Linked DNA regions of Arabidopsis thaliana. The protein of the gene in region 1 interacts with the protein of each later gene in a pairwise test. Each region holds a gene or a part of one and is shown in the gene's direction. Other genes may lie near its edges.

Region 1 (9,810 bases):
TAATAGCCCTGTCTCTCTCTGCTAATCATTTCAGTTATTAGACTTTCATCATTTAAATCACAATAATTGTTCCACGTACCTAAAGAAAGATCCGACTTGTGTATCTTAAATAGGAAATAAAACATCGTATACTACGTATCAAAAACATTCACGCTTCACATTAAATGCTAACTAAAATTACAAAAGGGATAAAATCACAATTGAATCCTAAACTCCAAGTTGTAAGGATAATTAAGTAAAATAAAACAAGGCACGTGCCAGTCAAATGACGGTTATAACCCTATCACGTGGTAGTCAACTCGCTTTACAGATATTCCGAGAGTGAGGTCCCACAAAGTCACTTGCCATTACCCTCTCTGTATTAGTTAGTCGTAGTAGTCTAGTAGTAGTTGTTAGCGCGTCAACTCCACTTTCTAACTGTAAGCGCGTGAAGAACGAAACCTTTTCCCCACCACCACCACCACCACCTCTCTATACTACTTCTTCTTCTTCTTCTTCCTTCTACAAATACATGACAGTCTCTTTCCCTCGTCTTCTAGTATTTTTTTGTTTTCTGTTATTTTTCGCCTGAGACTGGGTCCCTGAGATTTCACAAAACTCGTTATTGAAACTTAACAAAACAGCAACCTCCGTTATTAAAGTTCCCTTCTCGATTTCCGTGAAAATTTCACTTTAGCCATGGAACCTCCTAGTAGCGTAGTCGACGATGCTGAGTTTTGGCTTCCGACGGAGTTTCTCACTGACGATGATTTTCTCGTTGAGAAGGAGAATAACAGTGTAGGAATCGATGACTCCTTGTTCCCGTACGAGCCTCGTCATGGATTTGGGACTTTTGGCTCTACCGTTAAGCCTAACACGGTGAAGGAAGATGACGAGGAGAGTTTCTTAGCCGGATTGACTCGGCAGATGGTTATGTCATCTCTCAAAGATGATTTCTCCGGTGGAGTTTGCGGTAATCACGCTTTTCCGGCCGGTAATGACCACAAGGTAGTTTGATTTCGATCTAAAACCAAATTCGTTCTCAATCTTCTCTGTTTTCGTTGGATTTTTAATTTTTGGGAATTTTGTTCTCCGTGGTTGTTCAGGCGTGGGAAATGAATCGTTCGCCTCCGTGTGTCGCCGGAACTGGCTGTTGTTGCTTGAATCAGCGGTTTAACCAGAACCTTAATTCGCGAGTTTCTTCATGGGATCTGTACTGTGCTGCGGAGAGGATGAGTATCAACGACGAACCATACCATAGTGGCAGAGGACTTCTCGGATCTCCCGCAAAACTTTCCGCTACCGTCAAAAACCACTCTAACAACGGCACCGGTTACTACAACAATCATCAATCTCTCCAATACCAGAAGCTACAAGCTATCCAGGTAATCAATCACAAGCAAAACTCTCTTAAACACTTGATCTTTGAGTTTTTGTGTGCGATTGTGCTGATTGGTTTGTTTTCATTTGTCTTCTTGTGCAGTTTCAGCAGCTAAAGCAGCAACAGTTAATGAAACATCGTCGCCAATTGGTGCGTCAGAACAGAGGAGTAAGAGTTAATGGCAACAAAAATGTTGGTCCAGTGGATTTGTCGTCTTCTGCATGGTCTAATCAGTTTCCGAGGCGTGATGTTATGAGAGCTGTATTCATCGGGGACCATACCGGAAAACGTGGCTCAACCGGAACCGGTGTCTTCTTACCTCGAAGTGTTAACCATACTTCAAGAACTGAGACTCGAGAGAAGCCTAGTAAGTTCCTAAAAAGCTCAATTCCCCAAATGTCAATCTTTGGTATATTTTAGTTTTATGATGAGAACTGTTTTTACTCTTGGGTTTAGCTATATCGACGGTTTTGGTTCCGGCTAGACTGGCTCAGGTCCTGAATCTGAATTTAGGCGAACCGGTCCGGTCTACGGCTACTCTCAACGGTATACCAAATTAATCTCAACCTCGAGAGCTTATTTAAGTTAATTGAGCGGTCAATTTTATCACCAGTTGGTTTAATTTTTTTGTTAATTTATGTAGATGTGTCGTGGAGACAGAGGAGCAACAATGGTGGGTTCTCGAGCCAGATGGTCGGTGGCGTGAGGGCGGAGCAGTCAGTGCAAGAGCCTCGGTTACCATCGGAGTGGGCTTATTGACTGATTTTATGTTCGTAACTTTTGGGTGTGTTTAGGGGGAAGATTTTATGATGGGTTTGGTTTGAAGAAAGATTAGAGTTGATGACAGGTAGTGAAATAGTGGAAAAAAGGTTAGGGTTAATGTAGAGATAGTGGAAGATTTGGAAGAAGAATAAAGAAAGTTGGAAGTGTGGAGAGGACGAGGTTTTGGATCGTTTAACCACCATTGATGGCTTGATAGATGAAGAAAAGAGCTTTGAGACAGACAGAGATAGGTGACTCTCTTTTCTTTTTTTTTGGGTTTTTCTTTTTTACTTTTTTACTGGGAAATGAAATGTCAGTCTGTCACGGGGCTGTTCCTTTAGTGTCATCCCTCTCTGCCTCTCTTTTGTTCACACAACTCTTAAGCAATGGATAAGTAAGTAATTAGTAAAAGAAAAGTTTGTTATATGATTTTGATTCCCACATCAGGTGGATATATATTTCCTAAAATCTTTGCATGCGAAATCATATTTTGATGAAAAAATCAATACTAAGAAAACATGTACTCTTTTTTTTTTTTTATTGACAGAATTTGACAATCTAATTTTAGAAAAGAAATTCTCACAAACCGAGAGATAACAGTAATAAGTAACAACAACCCATAACTGGGTAACACAAATTGACGTCAAAAGGCAAAAAAAAAAAAGGGGGGTAAATCTGAGGAAAGAACATCCTAAATTCCTAATCAATTTGGTGTCAAAACACAAATTAGTTTCACAAGTATGTATTATCATACACTATAATTTCGATAAATATTAGTATATTACTTACTAAATCCACTAAAAAAATTTACTATGTTCTTAAGAAAACTTACCATTGAGACTACTACTGACAGTCTGACAGAAGTAACCAATACAAAAAGATAAAAAGGTGATATGTACTATATACCCAAAACCTAATGAGCCTTGTTATTAGCAACAAAACTCAGGTCATATAGTAGTATTTAAACAAGTGAAATGGTAAAATCGTATAGAAAGGAATTTGGCAACCTATTAATTAATGGATCATTAAATATTTAGAAGCACACGAGCACTTAAATAACTCGATTTTTGATTAAATGCTGAAATGCTGGTCTTCTTTGTGGATCAACGTGCAGAGTTTGTCCTATGCCATTTGTTACTCCAGATTAATAAATATTGACAACTTCTATTAGTATTGAAATTTGAGTTGTGGCAGCTGTTTTTAGTTGTATTGGTTTTCTCGGTGTTTGTTTCCAACAACTAGTACCAAATCATCATGTCCAGTTTTTTTATTATTACTAGTAGTATTTTCTTTCGTCGACCTATATTATTGTTTCAAGTTTTGTAACCACATAATCTAATTAGCACAGTAATGTAGTCATCAAATAACAATTCGTCTTGCTCGAGTCCTGAATCCAATACCCTGATCTAAACCATTTTCTATGGGAGTATGGGAATGGGACTCACATTTTCATGTGGGTGTTTTTGTATGTTGACTGCTTCACGCGGTTCGTATCGTTCTACTAAATTATTGGTAATTGTTCGGATATATAACATTTATGAAAACCATTTGCACTTTCACATGACTCGCATTAATGCCACTTTCCTCATTTTCCATAGTTCACATAAGAACAACATAGTACATATACTATAAACTATGTGATTGATTACTATTTTGAAGAAAATAAAGCTTGCATACATACAGGTTTCTGTATTCACATTTAGATTTTCGGATTCACAAGCTCGAAGTATTCATATTTGTATTTTCAAGTTATTTTCTCTGTGTTATACTCGGAAACCACATTGGCCTATCTAATTAACAAAACATATGATATGCTTAAATGGCATTAAATGCTAATATGAAAAACATGTCCTATGGATTATTGGTAAGTGCGAGATTTAATGAAAGTTACAATGCTTGATTTCTTAAAGGTTACAATTTCGTACTATTGAAGACAAACTATATTTGCAAGAGAAGAAATTAGCTACCAAAATTAATACAGTATAGTATTCCCTCTTCTGTCACTATCTGTTCACTGCTTCTGCAAACCAATATTAAAACAAGTTGACCTATTTGCAACTATCTGTCTCCAATTATGTTTCAATTTTTGTGTATTTTGGATTTTCTTTGCTCGGCCTTTTTCCTTATATGGATTCTGAATGCTAGGAAAAAACAGAATAGAGTGAATTGGTTCTCACATGCATAGAAGAATTTTCAAGAGAAACATATTTGCTCAACTAACAACTACCAACCCATCACCAAATTTTCGTTTCATTTGTTGTACAAATTATAGACCCAAAAATGTTCATCCACAATCGATTGAGGTACCTCATGTACACCTATATTAAACATACAACATAATTCCAAAATGGTTTGGATCCGGTCTGGTTTTTTACTTTGAGGCAAATAACATTAGATTATTTAAGATTGAAAGCTCACAACTAGCCTTCTTTTAGGGCAAAGTACACGTAACCAATTTTTTAATTTTCATATCGAACTTAACAAATTGTAACCATTTGCAAAAATGAAGCAAACAAAAAGTACAAAACAGATTACATGGACTATTATATAATTGGAAGCCCGTTTGGCCTTAAAGCCCGTTAAAAAAACATATGTGTATTTTTTAGCAATATGTCTGATAAAAAAATTTAAAAACTAATCTTGTTTAATTCAGTAAGACATTTACTAGACTTTTCACAATTCAACACAGTTGTTGTTGGTTGAGCTACCCAGCCAGTATCAAGAGAGGAAGGTAGAGAGGAGTGAGAGAGAGCTTTGGGATCGATTTCATGTCGTAGATCTTTCACTCTGGGTTTGCGTTCCACAAAATCCTAATTCGCGGAACTCTGGATTTGATCGGCGATGGCGGTAGGCGATCAGACGGAGCAGAATTACTTGCCGAAGAAGAAGAAATCCGAAACGGAAGATGATAAGAGGTTCATGATTGTTTTATCTTCTTTGTAATCTATGTTTGAATCAGTTGATTTTATTTTGTTGTTGCTGGGAGTAGTGAGTAGATCATTAATTTGAGAAATTGAATGTGGAATAGGAGGAAGAAAATTGTTCCCGGGAGCTTGTTGAAAGCTGTGGTGCGACCTGGAGGAGGTGATTCGAGCCCCGTTGATGGTGATCAGGTTAATAATTTTGGTTTTGTTTTTGCTTCTCGTGGTCAATTTTGGTTGTTTATGAGTGTTTTTTCGTCAGGTTATTTATCACTGCACTGTACGGACACTGGATGGTGTAGTTGTGGAATCTACGAGGTCAGAATCTGGAGGTGAGATTGATTGATGAAACATTTCTCAGTAGGGTGTTGCTTTTAGCTTTTTGTTAGGGGCATCGTTGAATGTGTTGTTTGATGTTCCTTCAGGGAGAGGTGTACCGATCAGAGATGTCTTGGGAAACAGCAAAATGATTCTTGGATTGCTCGAAGGAATTCCCACGATGCACAAGGGTGAAATTGCAATGGTAACTCTAAAAACTCTTTAAAGATCAGTGTCGCCTCAATGATAACGTTTGTGTCTCTTTACTCGGCTGCGTAGTTTGGGTTCTGAAGAGGGTCTTGTTGATTTACCTCAAGTTCAATGAGTCGATTCGCCAAATCTTCCATTAGCTATTTCAACTTACTTTCTTGATTCTCAACGGCTGAAAAGTCTTTATCTTTTTCCTTTTTTCAGTTCAAGATGAAACCTGAAATGCACTATGCAGAGATTGATTGTCCAGTCTCAGCTCCAGAAAATTTTCCAAAAGATGATGAGCTTCATTTTGAGATTGAGTTGTTGGATTTTTCTAAAGCCAAGGCGAGATCTCATCACTAACCAAGATAACAGTGCATTAGTTAGCCGAAAGACTCTGAAATTTTGCATTTCATCTGTTTTGACTTATGCTTTCCTTTCCTTTGTGTTAATTTCCAGATTGCAAGTGATGATCTGGGGGTCATCAAGAAGGTAGGACCTGATTTTCCATATATGTAGACATATCAAATGGGTCAGGGATGATGTATTTCTTGTTCGTACTGATGGCTCAAGCATTGCTTTCCTTTTCTATGAAAGATTCTAAATGAAGGTGAGGGCTGGGAATCTCCCAGAGAACCCTATGAAGTGAAAGCCAGGTAATTTATTCTTGATCATTCCTGCATTTTGGGTCAAAATATATTTAACCTTGTTTTTCCATTTGGGGCAACGTTGAGTGAAGTTTTAATGCATTTCTGTGGTGTATATTAGAATATCTGCTAAATCCGGTGATGGACACGTGATCTTCTCTCACACAGAAGAACCTTATTTCTTCACATTTGGAAAATCTGAGGTAATTGTTAAGTTTATGGGGCAGTTTTTACTCTCTGTCCATGCAAATCCATTCTAGTGGAATACATTTCTGACTATTGCTCGTCAATTAGGCAGGTGCCTAAAGGTCTTGAAATCGGAATTGGAACCATGGCTCGGAAGGAGAAGGCAGTGATATATGTTCGCAAGCAGTACTTGACTGAATCTCCTTTGTTGCATATAGATCAAGACCTTGAGGAAGTTCATTTTGAGGTTGAACTGGTACATTTCATTCAGGTAAGAAAGACAAATGCAATGCAATAAGAAAACAGTATTTTGTGCATTTAAGAATTGGGAAACTGAGCGACTGACATTCAAGTTCTCGCTTTGAAGGTGCGGGACATGCTTGGAGATGGACGTCTCATAAAACGTCGAATTCGAGATGGAAGAGGTATGTTTCACACTTTCTTTTCAACTGTCTCTTATCTGTTTCAACATGGTGCGGGTTTTTGTTCTTATATATCTTGCTGGGGCATCTGCTAGATTCCAGCTCTTGTTTATAGTTTATCCGCTAGACTATTCTGATCTACAACGTTTGACCAACTTATTAGGCGAGTTTCCAATGGATTGTCCTCTCCAAGATAGTCGTTTAAGCGTTCACTACAAGGGCATGCTTCTCAATGAAGAGAAGACTGTCTTCTATGATAGCAAGATTGACAATAATGATCAACCGTTGGAGTTCAGTTCAGGAGAAGGACTGGTCAGTTACTCCAACGTTTATAGGAAAACCTAGTGGAGTTCTTTAGACGTTTTAGTTGAAATATATCTCTACGCACGGACTGGTTAAGATTATTCTGTCGTATTTGCAGGTCCCTGAAGGGTTTGAGATGTGTACTCGTTTGATGCTACCTGGGGAGATTGCTCTTGTTACATGCCCCCCTGATTATGCATATGACAAATTTCCGAGGTTATACTCTTAACTGTGTAAATAACACTAACACGATAGTGTATAAACTGTTGTCGGAGAAATAAACGCATTTCATGTTTTCTTTTCTGATAGACCACCTGGCGTGTCTGAAGGTGCACATGTTCAGTGGGAGATTGAACTCCTTGGTTTCGAAACGCCAAGAGTAAGTTGGTCTAGTGTTGATACTTACCATGGAAATTGTAAACAGCTTCCGTTTCTTATAAGTCTAGAGATTCTGTCTCAGGACTGGACTGGCTTGAACTTCCAGAGCATCATGGACGAGGCAGATAAAATCAGAAGCACGGTATGGATAAAATATTCTGCTACCATTTATAATTTGACCTATAGTCCTAAATTTTTATCACTTCAGAATTTGCTATTAGCTAATCTTTTCTGCAATCAGGTCACACCAGATCTATTAATTTATGGTTCTTCTCTCCTTTTGGTTATACTATGAACTTCAGGGTAATAGGCTTTTCAAAGAAGGAAAATTTGAGCTCGCAAAAGCAAAGTACGAAAAGGTAATAGAAGTCATGTGATAACCAATTCCAGTATTAGCATTTGTTTCATTGTGTCTGAGCGGTAAATCCAAAACCAGGTGCTCCGGGAATTTAATCATGTTAACCCACAAGATGAAGATGAAGGAAAAATATTTGGTGACACAAGGGTGAGTTCCATCTTCTCATTACGTTTGTAGTTGCAGATACGTCTAGATTTGATAATATTAGAAGTATTAAGTACTAACTAGCTCTCGTATCCTTGCTCTGCTGATATTTGAAGAATATGTTACATCTGAATGTTGCGGCTTGCTTGCTTAAAATGGGAGAGTGGAGGAAGTCTATAGAGACATGCAATAAGGTAGCATTCAATAAACAATTCTCTTAAGAAGGCTTGATTCTGGAATAAGAGGTTGGGATTTCTGAGACCTTTTGTGCACCAATTTCCAAATAGGTTCTAGAAGCAAAGCCTGGTCATGTGAAAGGTCTATACCGCCGCGGAATGGCTTACATTGCAGGTGGAGAGTATGATGACGCTAGAAATGACTTCAATATGGTATATTATGCTAAACCTGCATATCATTATCTAGTGAATAGATTCAGAAATCTGCTTACTCACTGACTTATGTGTCTGTGTTTTAGATGATCAAAGTGGATAAATCATCAGAAGCTGATGCGACCGCTGCTCTATTGAAACTGAAGCAGAAGGAACAGGTCAGTGTTTGAAAACTATCTCAACCAAATGTCCACCCGAATCGAGTTCATTAAGGCTACTTATGGTTTGGGCTTGTTTTGCCAATTTTGTTACTTAATATAAGATCTCTGAGTTGTTTTCTTTTGAGCTCACAGGAAGCGGAGAGCAAGGCTAGAAAACAGTTCAAAGGATTATTCGACAAGAGACCGGGGGAGATAACCGAAGTTGGTTCAGAAATAAGAGAGGAGTCTAAAACTATAGAAGAAGTAGATGAGACAAAGGATAATGATGATGATGAAACACTGGAAGAAGAAGGAGCTACGACAGTGAGCACGGAAAGGAAGAGGAAATGGTCGGAGAAAGCCTGGCCGTTTCTGAAGAACGTGATGCTCCAAATCGGAATCCAGCTTGGTGTTGTTCTGATAGGGATTTTGATTTTCCAGTTTGTGAGCGCCAAATTTACATGAGAGAGATATGAATGAATAAACAAACCAACGGCACTGTAGACTCAGAAAATATAAAACTAATGGATTAAACGTTAAGCTTAATGTATTTTTGTTTGGTTTAGTTTATGAAAGTAGTTGCTCAAAGATGGAATTATTTGCACCACTACACGATCCTCTCTTGCTTCCTCAAGTGATTGGTGTTTGTTTGTTTCATTCAAATTCTACGAGATGATGACAAGAAAGAAGATGTTAATGTAGAACATGACTTAATTGTATAATCTCCCAAAATTTATTCATTAGTCATCTTTTTATCCTATAGGTAATAGGATTATCCTACTGTATAGATTGTTGTAATGATTAGTGTTAGGTTTTTGTTGAAAAACAGTATCTACTTTTCTATTTTTTCTACTTTTAGTATAAGATGTTTTGGGAAAACGAATTATTTTACAAAGAAAATGTTTTGTACATATGCAAAATATGTATATAAATATGCTTTAACGAATTTTATGTTGTAGGAAATGTGTGATTATATAAATCAACTTTAGATAACACAGAGTAATTAATCCCACCCACCAATCATCCACTCGGCTGAATAAAATGTCGCCACTTTTAAAAACAAAAAGAAAGATTAAACCGTTTTCTCCGTGTGGAACTCGCGTTTTATCGTACACCCAAAACGTTGCTTAAATTGATTTTGCAAAACGCTGATTTTGCTTCTTATCGGAGATTTTTTTGGGGGCAACGGAGAAATTTGTTTTAGGGCTTTTTGCTTATCATCGTCGTCTCAGATCCTGCTAAAAGGAAAAATCTTTTGTTCTAGATTTCTTCACTCTCGTCTTTTGATCT
Region 2 (7,572 bases), on another chromosome or scaffold:
GAAGAGAAAAGAGTAAATCAAGAGTTTCTTGGGGAAGACGTATCATAACAATACAACTATTATTGGTTACCTTCTTCAACAAGGTATCATGATCAGATTTGTCTGAAGATTTAATCACGCACTGTGTCTTAACTCGCTTCTTCTTTCCTTCTCTCCTCGACTCAGCTGACCTCTTTTGCCCTACTTTCTCTACACCTTTTTCGTTGTTGATCCTACGCAAGTCACTATTCGCCTCTGGATTAGTGAGCGAGTATAGTATCTCAAACCATTGCCGAAGAAATACTTCGTCCTTGTTCATTCTTTTGATAGTTTTAAGTGATTCTTTACTGATAAGTTTGGCTGATTTGAGTTTAACGCAGACATGCTTCAAGGGTACTTATACAGGGAGAAAAGGATATATATGTAAACTACTCATGACGAGAAACAACAACGTTTGCCGCTCAAAAAGCTACTCTTCGTCACTAAGTTACTAATTCTTTAAATAAAATTACATTTATGTAAGGTGGACATCTAAGGTTCATAGATATAGCCAAGAAATGTAACGTGTCCATTTTTGACCTAAGTCTACGGTTTAAAAAATTAGAGATTTTGGAATGCAGGATATATACACACATAATACGACAATATTAGGACCTTACGAAGTCACGAGGCTCTTGTAATCGTTTACTCAGAACTCCACATGCATTAGGAGTACTCTACGTCGTACCTTTAATACAAATATTTAAATATTTTCGAGAATGATCTAATTAATCTAGTGATGTAAGTTACAATATTTCTGAATGGTACCTTCCGGTTTAGAGAGAACCTTGAGTTGCTAAGGGAGATATCCGGTTATAAAACGGTTCATGCGGCAACCTTGTTTATCATGCGGCAACCTTGTTTGTCATGCGGCATGATCTTTGTCAGCATTCAGCATGTATGTTGGGATTTAGACTTTCTAAAATCTTATCTAGCACTAAAGTTTTGACATCAGCCTTATTTGTCTATATGTATGGGTGACATGGTAATAATTTCTTTAACTAAATCTCTGGGATGATTTTTTAAATTAATTTGTAGTTTCTTTAAGAAGTTACACAACATGAGGTTATAACAATTTTACGTGACATATTTATAACTCACAAATGAACTATTTTTTGTTTTTTATATCTCAGGTGATCGTAAATGCTTTATAATCTCGGGATATGGAAAACAATGTTAAATTGAGCTATTTTGTTTTTGAAATATGAAAATTCATAGTTTAAAATTTACACAATCGATATAATATTCTACAGATTGAGAAATTTATTACCCGTATATAATGATAAGTAAGATTGATTTCAAGAACTTTTGGATCATGAGTCCCTCTATTTTGTTAGTCTTAGTTTAGGACTCTTCAGATTCAAAGTTTTATATATTAAAAAAGTAAATAGTTTCTAAACATGAGTGTTATATCATCGATCCAAACAATTGGTTTTGACAACGTTGCACTATTTAGGTAAAATATGCATCCATGGAAACCAAGATTAATAAACATGATGTTTCGAAAATATTAAAGAAAACTGCAATAGAGAAAGAAAAAAGAAAAAAAACACAAAGACCAAGTGAGATCATGTTATTGCGTAATACATGTGGATTGCGTAGTTTGGTAATGATGTTAGATAGTCTATGCGCTCCAGTGCTCCACAGCAACGGCTAACTTCTCGAACACACGCTCCTATTTTCAACGTGCCAAAGTTAGAGCCTAGCTTTGATTATCTTTTCTGGTCTATACTCATATTTTGCTGCTCCATGTATCCACCATCTCTTTTACTGGGGCACACTATATATATGTAAAGTGCTTTTACTGATAAAAAATAGTAAACAAAATGATATTTTAATCTTTTTACGTTCTCGTAGTATTCTTTTGTCCAGTCTAATTTACAAAGACTGAGAACATTCATTCTTCACTTAATATTATATAGTGTTGGTGCCTTGGTGGTATGGATGATTGATATGCTGAGAAAGCAAAGCATAAAACATAGGTCCAGGCATGTCTGTTCAATGTATGATATCTCTTTTAGCAACACTTTTCTTCTATCCTATCGGAACTGCAATTACTTTTTTGGTGTCATTCTCATTCATGTGCTTTATTTTATAGGAAATTTTAATTATTTGAAAGAAGTTTCTATTATTGGCTGTTAGTAAAACCTCTAAAATTAATCTCACTACTATGAATCAGCATCTATAACTTCATAGTATATCACCACCACAACTATGTTTTTTTTGTTAAATCCCAAACTGTTATTAAATGTGAAAGATCTTTAATCAAATACATATAGACAATCTCCATTTGTATAACCTTATGTTTATTTCCTTTTAGTTAATTAGCTTGAACTAAGTTTCACAAATTACATTTACATCTACACATTCACATGCACATACATTGAATATCAACTAATTTTAAAACTGATTAGTTAGTATACGTTCGGAGTAGCTAGACAACTATAGACATCATGATTCACATTTTTCAATAAATTGATTACTTGATGATACAAATGTGTGTGTTAACGGCTGGAAAACATACAAAGAGGGACATCATAGTTCATAAAGGTGTTCCCTTTATATATAGTTATACATAGAATGTGGGATAATCATGGAGCCGTACTAATCACTCTATTATTTTCTTTACAAAATAAAGTAGAAGTAGGGGTATTACTTTTTCTACTCCAGCTTACTCTTGTCTACTGCAACTATTATTCATTCGACTGGAACCATTAGCTCATACATATCTTGTATACAATTACTTAAAAATTTGTATTGTAAATGATAATCATAAATATACATTTTTGTTTGGTAATTATAATCATATTAAATATAGTTAATTGTTAAAGGTCGGTTAGTTTGTCTCATTCCTTTTGAAGTATGAAAATCACAAATTTTCATTAAGAGAAAACGAAAAATAACAAATAAAACAGCTTCTTTTAATATTAAAGTTTTTTTCTTGAAAAATTGTAATAATAATATGTGAGCTAAAAGTATATAAAAATTGGCATAAGTGCTCTTTCGTTATGATAAAGAAAGTGCATGAATTTCTCCGCAAGAGCTAATCTTTTGCACATTTGTCATCATCATTCTCAAGTTTTGTATTTTCCCATCATTCTATATCACTTAAACTATTCAACATTGATTTTAATTCACCAATAAATGAAAACAGAAATTTGTATAAATAAAAATACTAATAAATTGTTGATCTCAAAAAAAAAAAGTTGGGATATTTATAGATAGATACCAAAGTCCAAAGGTCCAACTTAGGAAGCCCGAATCTTCTATCAACGTCTCTCACAGTCCCTTTTCATGCTTTCACACTCTCACTGCTCTTCTCTCTCCAATTCTCTCATCAATCTCCGCAAACTCTTCTCATTCTTGATATCTCCATTACCAAAAGTAAACTCTTGTCCAAATTCTGCTACTTTTTTGTACTGATTCCTCCGAAATGTCGGTGGGATCTCTTTTATTCATGTTTCTTCTTATCTGGAACTTCAATGGCGAATTGAATGCTCTAAACGACGAAGGGTTTGCTCTTTTAACTCTGAAGCAGTCTATTTCAAAAGATCCAGATGGTTCTTTAAGCAATTGGAACTCAGAGAATCAAAACCCTTGTTCTTGGAATGGAGTCACTTGTGATGATAACAAGGTTGTTGTCTCTCTTAGCATCCCAAAGAAGAAACTTTTAGGTTATCTTCCTTCTTCTCTTGGTTTACTCTCTAATCTCCGTCATTTGAATTTGAGAAGCAATGAGCTTAGTGGGAACTTACCTGTTGAGCTTTTTAAGGCTCAAGGTCTTCAAAGTTTGGTTCTTTATGGGAATTTCTTGTCTGGGTCCATTCCAAATGAGATTGGTGACTTAAAGTTTCTGCAAATTTTGGATCTTTCTCGTAATTCTCTTAATGGGTCTATTCCAGAATCGGTTTTGAAGTGTAATAGGCTTAGGAGCTTTGATTTGAGTCAGAATAATCTCACTGGTTCTGTTCCTAGTGGATTTGGTCAGTCTTTGGCTTCTTTGCAGAAGCTTGATCTTTCTTCTAACAATCTTATTGGTCTTGTTCCTGATGATTTGGGGAATTTGACTAGATTGCAAGGAACTCTTGATTTGTCTCATAATTCGTTTAGTGGCTCGATTCCAGCTAGTTTGGGGAATTTGCCTGAGAAAGTTTATGTCAATCTAGCTTACAACAACTTGAGTGGACCAATCCCACAAACCGGTGCTTTGGTGAACAGAGGACCAACTGCATTCTTGGGGAATCCAAGACTCTGTGGCCCTCCATTGAAGGATCCTTGTTTGCCAGATACGGATAGTTCTTCAACTTCTCACCCTTTTGTACCGGATAACAACGAGCAAGGTGGAGGAGGGTCAAAGAAAGGAGAAGGTTTAAGTAAAACTGCTATTGTTGCAATTGTGGTTTGTGATTTCATTGGAATCTGCATTGTGGGATTTCTCTTCTCTTGTTGTTACTTGAAGATTTGTGCACGTCGTAATAGTGTGGATGAGGAAGGCTATGTGTTGGAGAAAGAAGGGAAAGAAAAGAAAGGTTCCTTCTGTTTCAGAAGAGATGGATCAGAGTCCCCTTCTTCGGAAAATCTTGAGCCACAACAAGATCTTGTTCTGTTGGATAAACATATTGCTTTGGATTTAGATGAGCTGCTTAAGGCTTCAGCTTTCGTTCTTGGAAAAGGCGGGAACGGGATTGTGTATAAAGTTGTCCTCGAAGATGGTCTAACGGTCGCTGTTAGGAGACTGGGAGAAGGAGGTTCCCAAAGATGCAAGGAGTTTCAGACAGAAGTTGAAGCAATTGGGAAGCTAAGGCATCCGAATATCGTTAGTCTTAAAGCTTATTATTGGTCAGTTGAAGAGAAACTTCTCATCTACGACTACATTCCTAATGGAAGCCTTACCAATGCACTCCACGGTAAACTATAAAACCTTTATGATAATACTTCTCATATCGTTTCTCTGTCTTGAAAACTCAATTTTGGTTTTTGTGTATGCTTAGGAAATCCTGGAATGGTGTCATTCAAGCCTCTGTCTTGGGGAGTTCGGTTAAAGATAATGAGGGGAATCTCAAGAGGGCTGGTGTATCTTCACGAGTTTAGTCCTAAAAAGTATGTTCATGGATCTCTGAAACTCAGCAATATACTGTTGGGACAGGATATGGAGCCTCATATCTCGGATTTCGGACTTATGCACCTCTCTAGCATTGCTGGAACATTGGAATCAACTACAGTTGACCGACCATCCAACAAGACCGCCTCATCGATTGGATCATCTGCAAACTTGAGCTCATTTTATCTGGCTCCTGAAGCCACTAAAGCAACAGTGAAGCCATCACAGAAATGGGATGTATACTCATTCGGAGTGATCTTGCTAGAGATGATAACGGGAAGATTACCGATTGTTTTCGTGGGTAAATCGGAAATGGAGATAGTCAAGTGGATACAAATGTGTATCGATGAGAAGAAAGAGATGTCAGACATTTTGGATCCTTATTTGGTGCCTAATGACACAGAGATTGAAGAAGAGGTCATCGCCGTGTTGAAAATTGCAATGGCTTGTGTTAGTACTAGCCCCGAGAAACGTCCACCGATGAAGCATATCGCTGATGCTTTGACCCAAATTTGCCTTCAGTGACTCGTAACAAAAACGGTTGCAAGTCAATTGTGTGTATGTAATGTGTTTAAAGGAAAAGTCTTACTGTTGTTGTTAGTTCCCCTTGTAATATCGAAATCTTATGTTACTTCAAATAGAGTTTCTTTGTAACATATAGCTTTACTCATTTTCATGGTACATACTATATGGATAAGCTTCATAATCATAAGGTTACACATTTATGATAAAAGTATACTGACGTCACACACAAAAGATAGATAAACCTATATATACTGATCATGGTAAGTCCTTATTTATGGAGTTTAATTATAGAAAAAGAGAATAATTTCTCTGAAAATTCATAATTTTCTTATGATCAAAAGGGTAATGTTGAACTGAAATTAGGAGGCTGTGTTCCAACGCTTTCTCTTAAAATCCTTTCCATCTCTGCTGCACTATGAATATTCCCTCCCTGTAATCATTTTTTTGTTAATACAAATCCATGAAAATGTTTTATCTTATTATAATTTTAATCATGTAATATTATGTGATAGTTACCTGAAATATATCCGTTGGCTCAATATCCAAAGAATTAAGGTCGTAACATGCACTTGCCGCTGAGAGTTTCATGGACAAAAACTGTAGTCAAGAGGCCAAAGCAGGAAAACATTTAAGTATTAGTGGGATATTATAAAAGTTAATGGGATGTTTGAACTTTGAAGAGTGAAATCAATGGCCTAACTAACCTCGATTTGATTCTGGAGTGATCGTACATAATCTATGATGACATCAAGCATCACTGCCATTCCCATTGCCTGCATCACGTTTTGAATTATCATTATAGAGAATAAACCCATTTTGATTTATTACTGTGGAAAAAAAAAATCGCTATACAAAAAAACAATCTGTTCATTTACGTAAGAGACGCTGCCACACCCTTTTAGATTTTGGCGTTCCGAAAAAACAAAAACAAAAACTAATTATTTCTATAGTTTTAAAATATTCTATCACATGATTCCTAATTTTTTACACTTTAATTCAATGATACATAGAAAAAAAATATTAATAGTTAAAGAATTGTGAGCTTGAAAAATTATCTTTAAAAAGTGTTTTTAAACCAAAAAATAGCACCAGAGTTACTTGGATTTAGAGGTAACTAATTTATCTAGAGTTACTTGTTTTTAGAGTTTTGTTGATTTTATTTTAATTACAAAACAAAAATTAGGGAGTTGTAGACAACAAACAAACAAAAAGAAATATTAGGGTTTGCGTTAATTCAAGTACCTTGTAGCATCCTGGAACAAGGTCTTGTAAGCATTTCAGCCTTTCATTGATCTTCTCTCTTCGTACCTTTATGCATTCCACAAAGAATCCAACACAACTAAGAAAAGTGAAGTTTTTTGTACTTTTGAGTATATATGTATTTGTAGAATTACCCTTTCAGCCAAACTATGGCTATCAGTAGCTTGACCTCTCTTAGCTCGGACATGAACAACATCTTTTGGCTTCTGAGTCTCATCTCCATTCATGGCTTCTTCCTCTTCCGACCTCTTTCTTCTTCTCTTCGACCCACTCTCTTCTTTATTTCCTTTTCTTCTCGTATTACCTGCGATTTCTAGCTTCATCAGAACACACATAAACATAGATATAACAGTTTTTCCCACAAACAATAAAATTATAAAATTTTCACCGTGCAATAAATTTGGGAAGAAGTGAGAATTATTGTGATTGGCATCAACTAAAGCTCCATTGGAGAAAAGCATGAAACTGGAAGGGGTAGAAGCTGGTAAGTCCAGATTTATTAGCTCTGGATTTTGGTTAATGTGTGCAAAGAAAGGATCATGACCATTATTATAGTTATATGGCTCAAACCGTGCCATTAGAGACACTACAAATTAAATCAAAATATGATTTCCTTTTTGTGAGCTAGTTTTGTTTTTTTTCTTTCTCTAAGACAGTTATAAAACTTG

Evidence for each region.
Region 2: the proteins of PAS1 (region 1) and AT1G25320 interact in a protein complementation assay, tested with the Arabidopsis thaliana proteins (one large-scale study listed by BioGRID).

What each region holds. Positions count from the first base shown.
Region 1 is NC_003074.8:19,996,079-20,005,888, forward strand, and holds PAS1 (FKBP-type peptidyl-prolyl cis-trans isomerase family protein), read left to right. Parts: upstream 1-4,742; 5' UTR 4,743-4,963; coding exon 4,964-5,037; intron 5,038-5,150; coding exon 5,151-5,235; exon of another isoform or gene 5,236-5,305; coding exon 5,306-5,375; intron 5,376-5,468; coding exon 5,469-5,566; intron 5,567-5,775; coding exon 5,776-5,898; intron 5,899-6,012; coding exon 6,013-6,045; intron 6,046-6,150; coding exon 6,151-6,209; intron 6,210-6,321; coding exon 6,322-6,403; intron 6,404-6,498; coding exon 6,499-6,657; intron 6,658-6,753; coding exon 6,754-6,811; intron 6,812-6,971; coding exon 6,972-7,120; intron 7,121-7,229; coding exon 7,230-7,327; intron 7,328-7,420; coding exon 7,421-7,490; intron 7,491-7,571; coding exon 7,572-7,631; intron 7,632-7,791; coding exon 7,792-7,848; intron 7,849-7,925; coding exon 7,926-7,994; intron 7,995-8,107; coding exon 8,108-8,185; intron 8,186-8,278; coding exon 8,279-8,380; intron 8,381-8,466; coding exon 8,467-8,538; intron 8,539-8,673; and 3 more. Other genes in the region: AT3G54000 (TIP41-like protein), read left to right, coding at 679-987, 1,086-1,364, 1,463-1,727, 1,817-1,906, 2,004-2,119. UniProt on the Arabidopsis thaliana protein: PPIases accelerate the folding of proteins. It catalyzes the cis-trans isomerization of proline imidic peptide bonds in oligopeptides. Essential protein regulating cell division, adhesion and elongation throughout the plant development and embryogenesis.
Region 2 is NC_003070.9:8,874,537-8,882,108, forward strand, and holds AT1G25320 (Leucine-rich repeat protein kinase family protein), read left to right. Parts: upstream 1-3,253; 5' UTR 3,254-3,451; coding exon 3,452-4,925; intron 4,926-5,009; coding exon 5,010-5,644; 3' UTR 5,645-5,852; downstream 5,853-7,572. Other genes in the region: MEE8 (basic helix-loop-helix (bHLH) DNA-binding family protein), read right to left, coding at 71-298; CES (basic helix-loop-helix (bHLH) DNA-binding superfamily protein), read right to left, coding at 5,979-6,074, 6,161-6,241, 6,349-6,417, 6,887-6,952, 7,039-7,208, 7,293-7,482.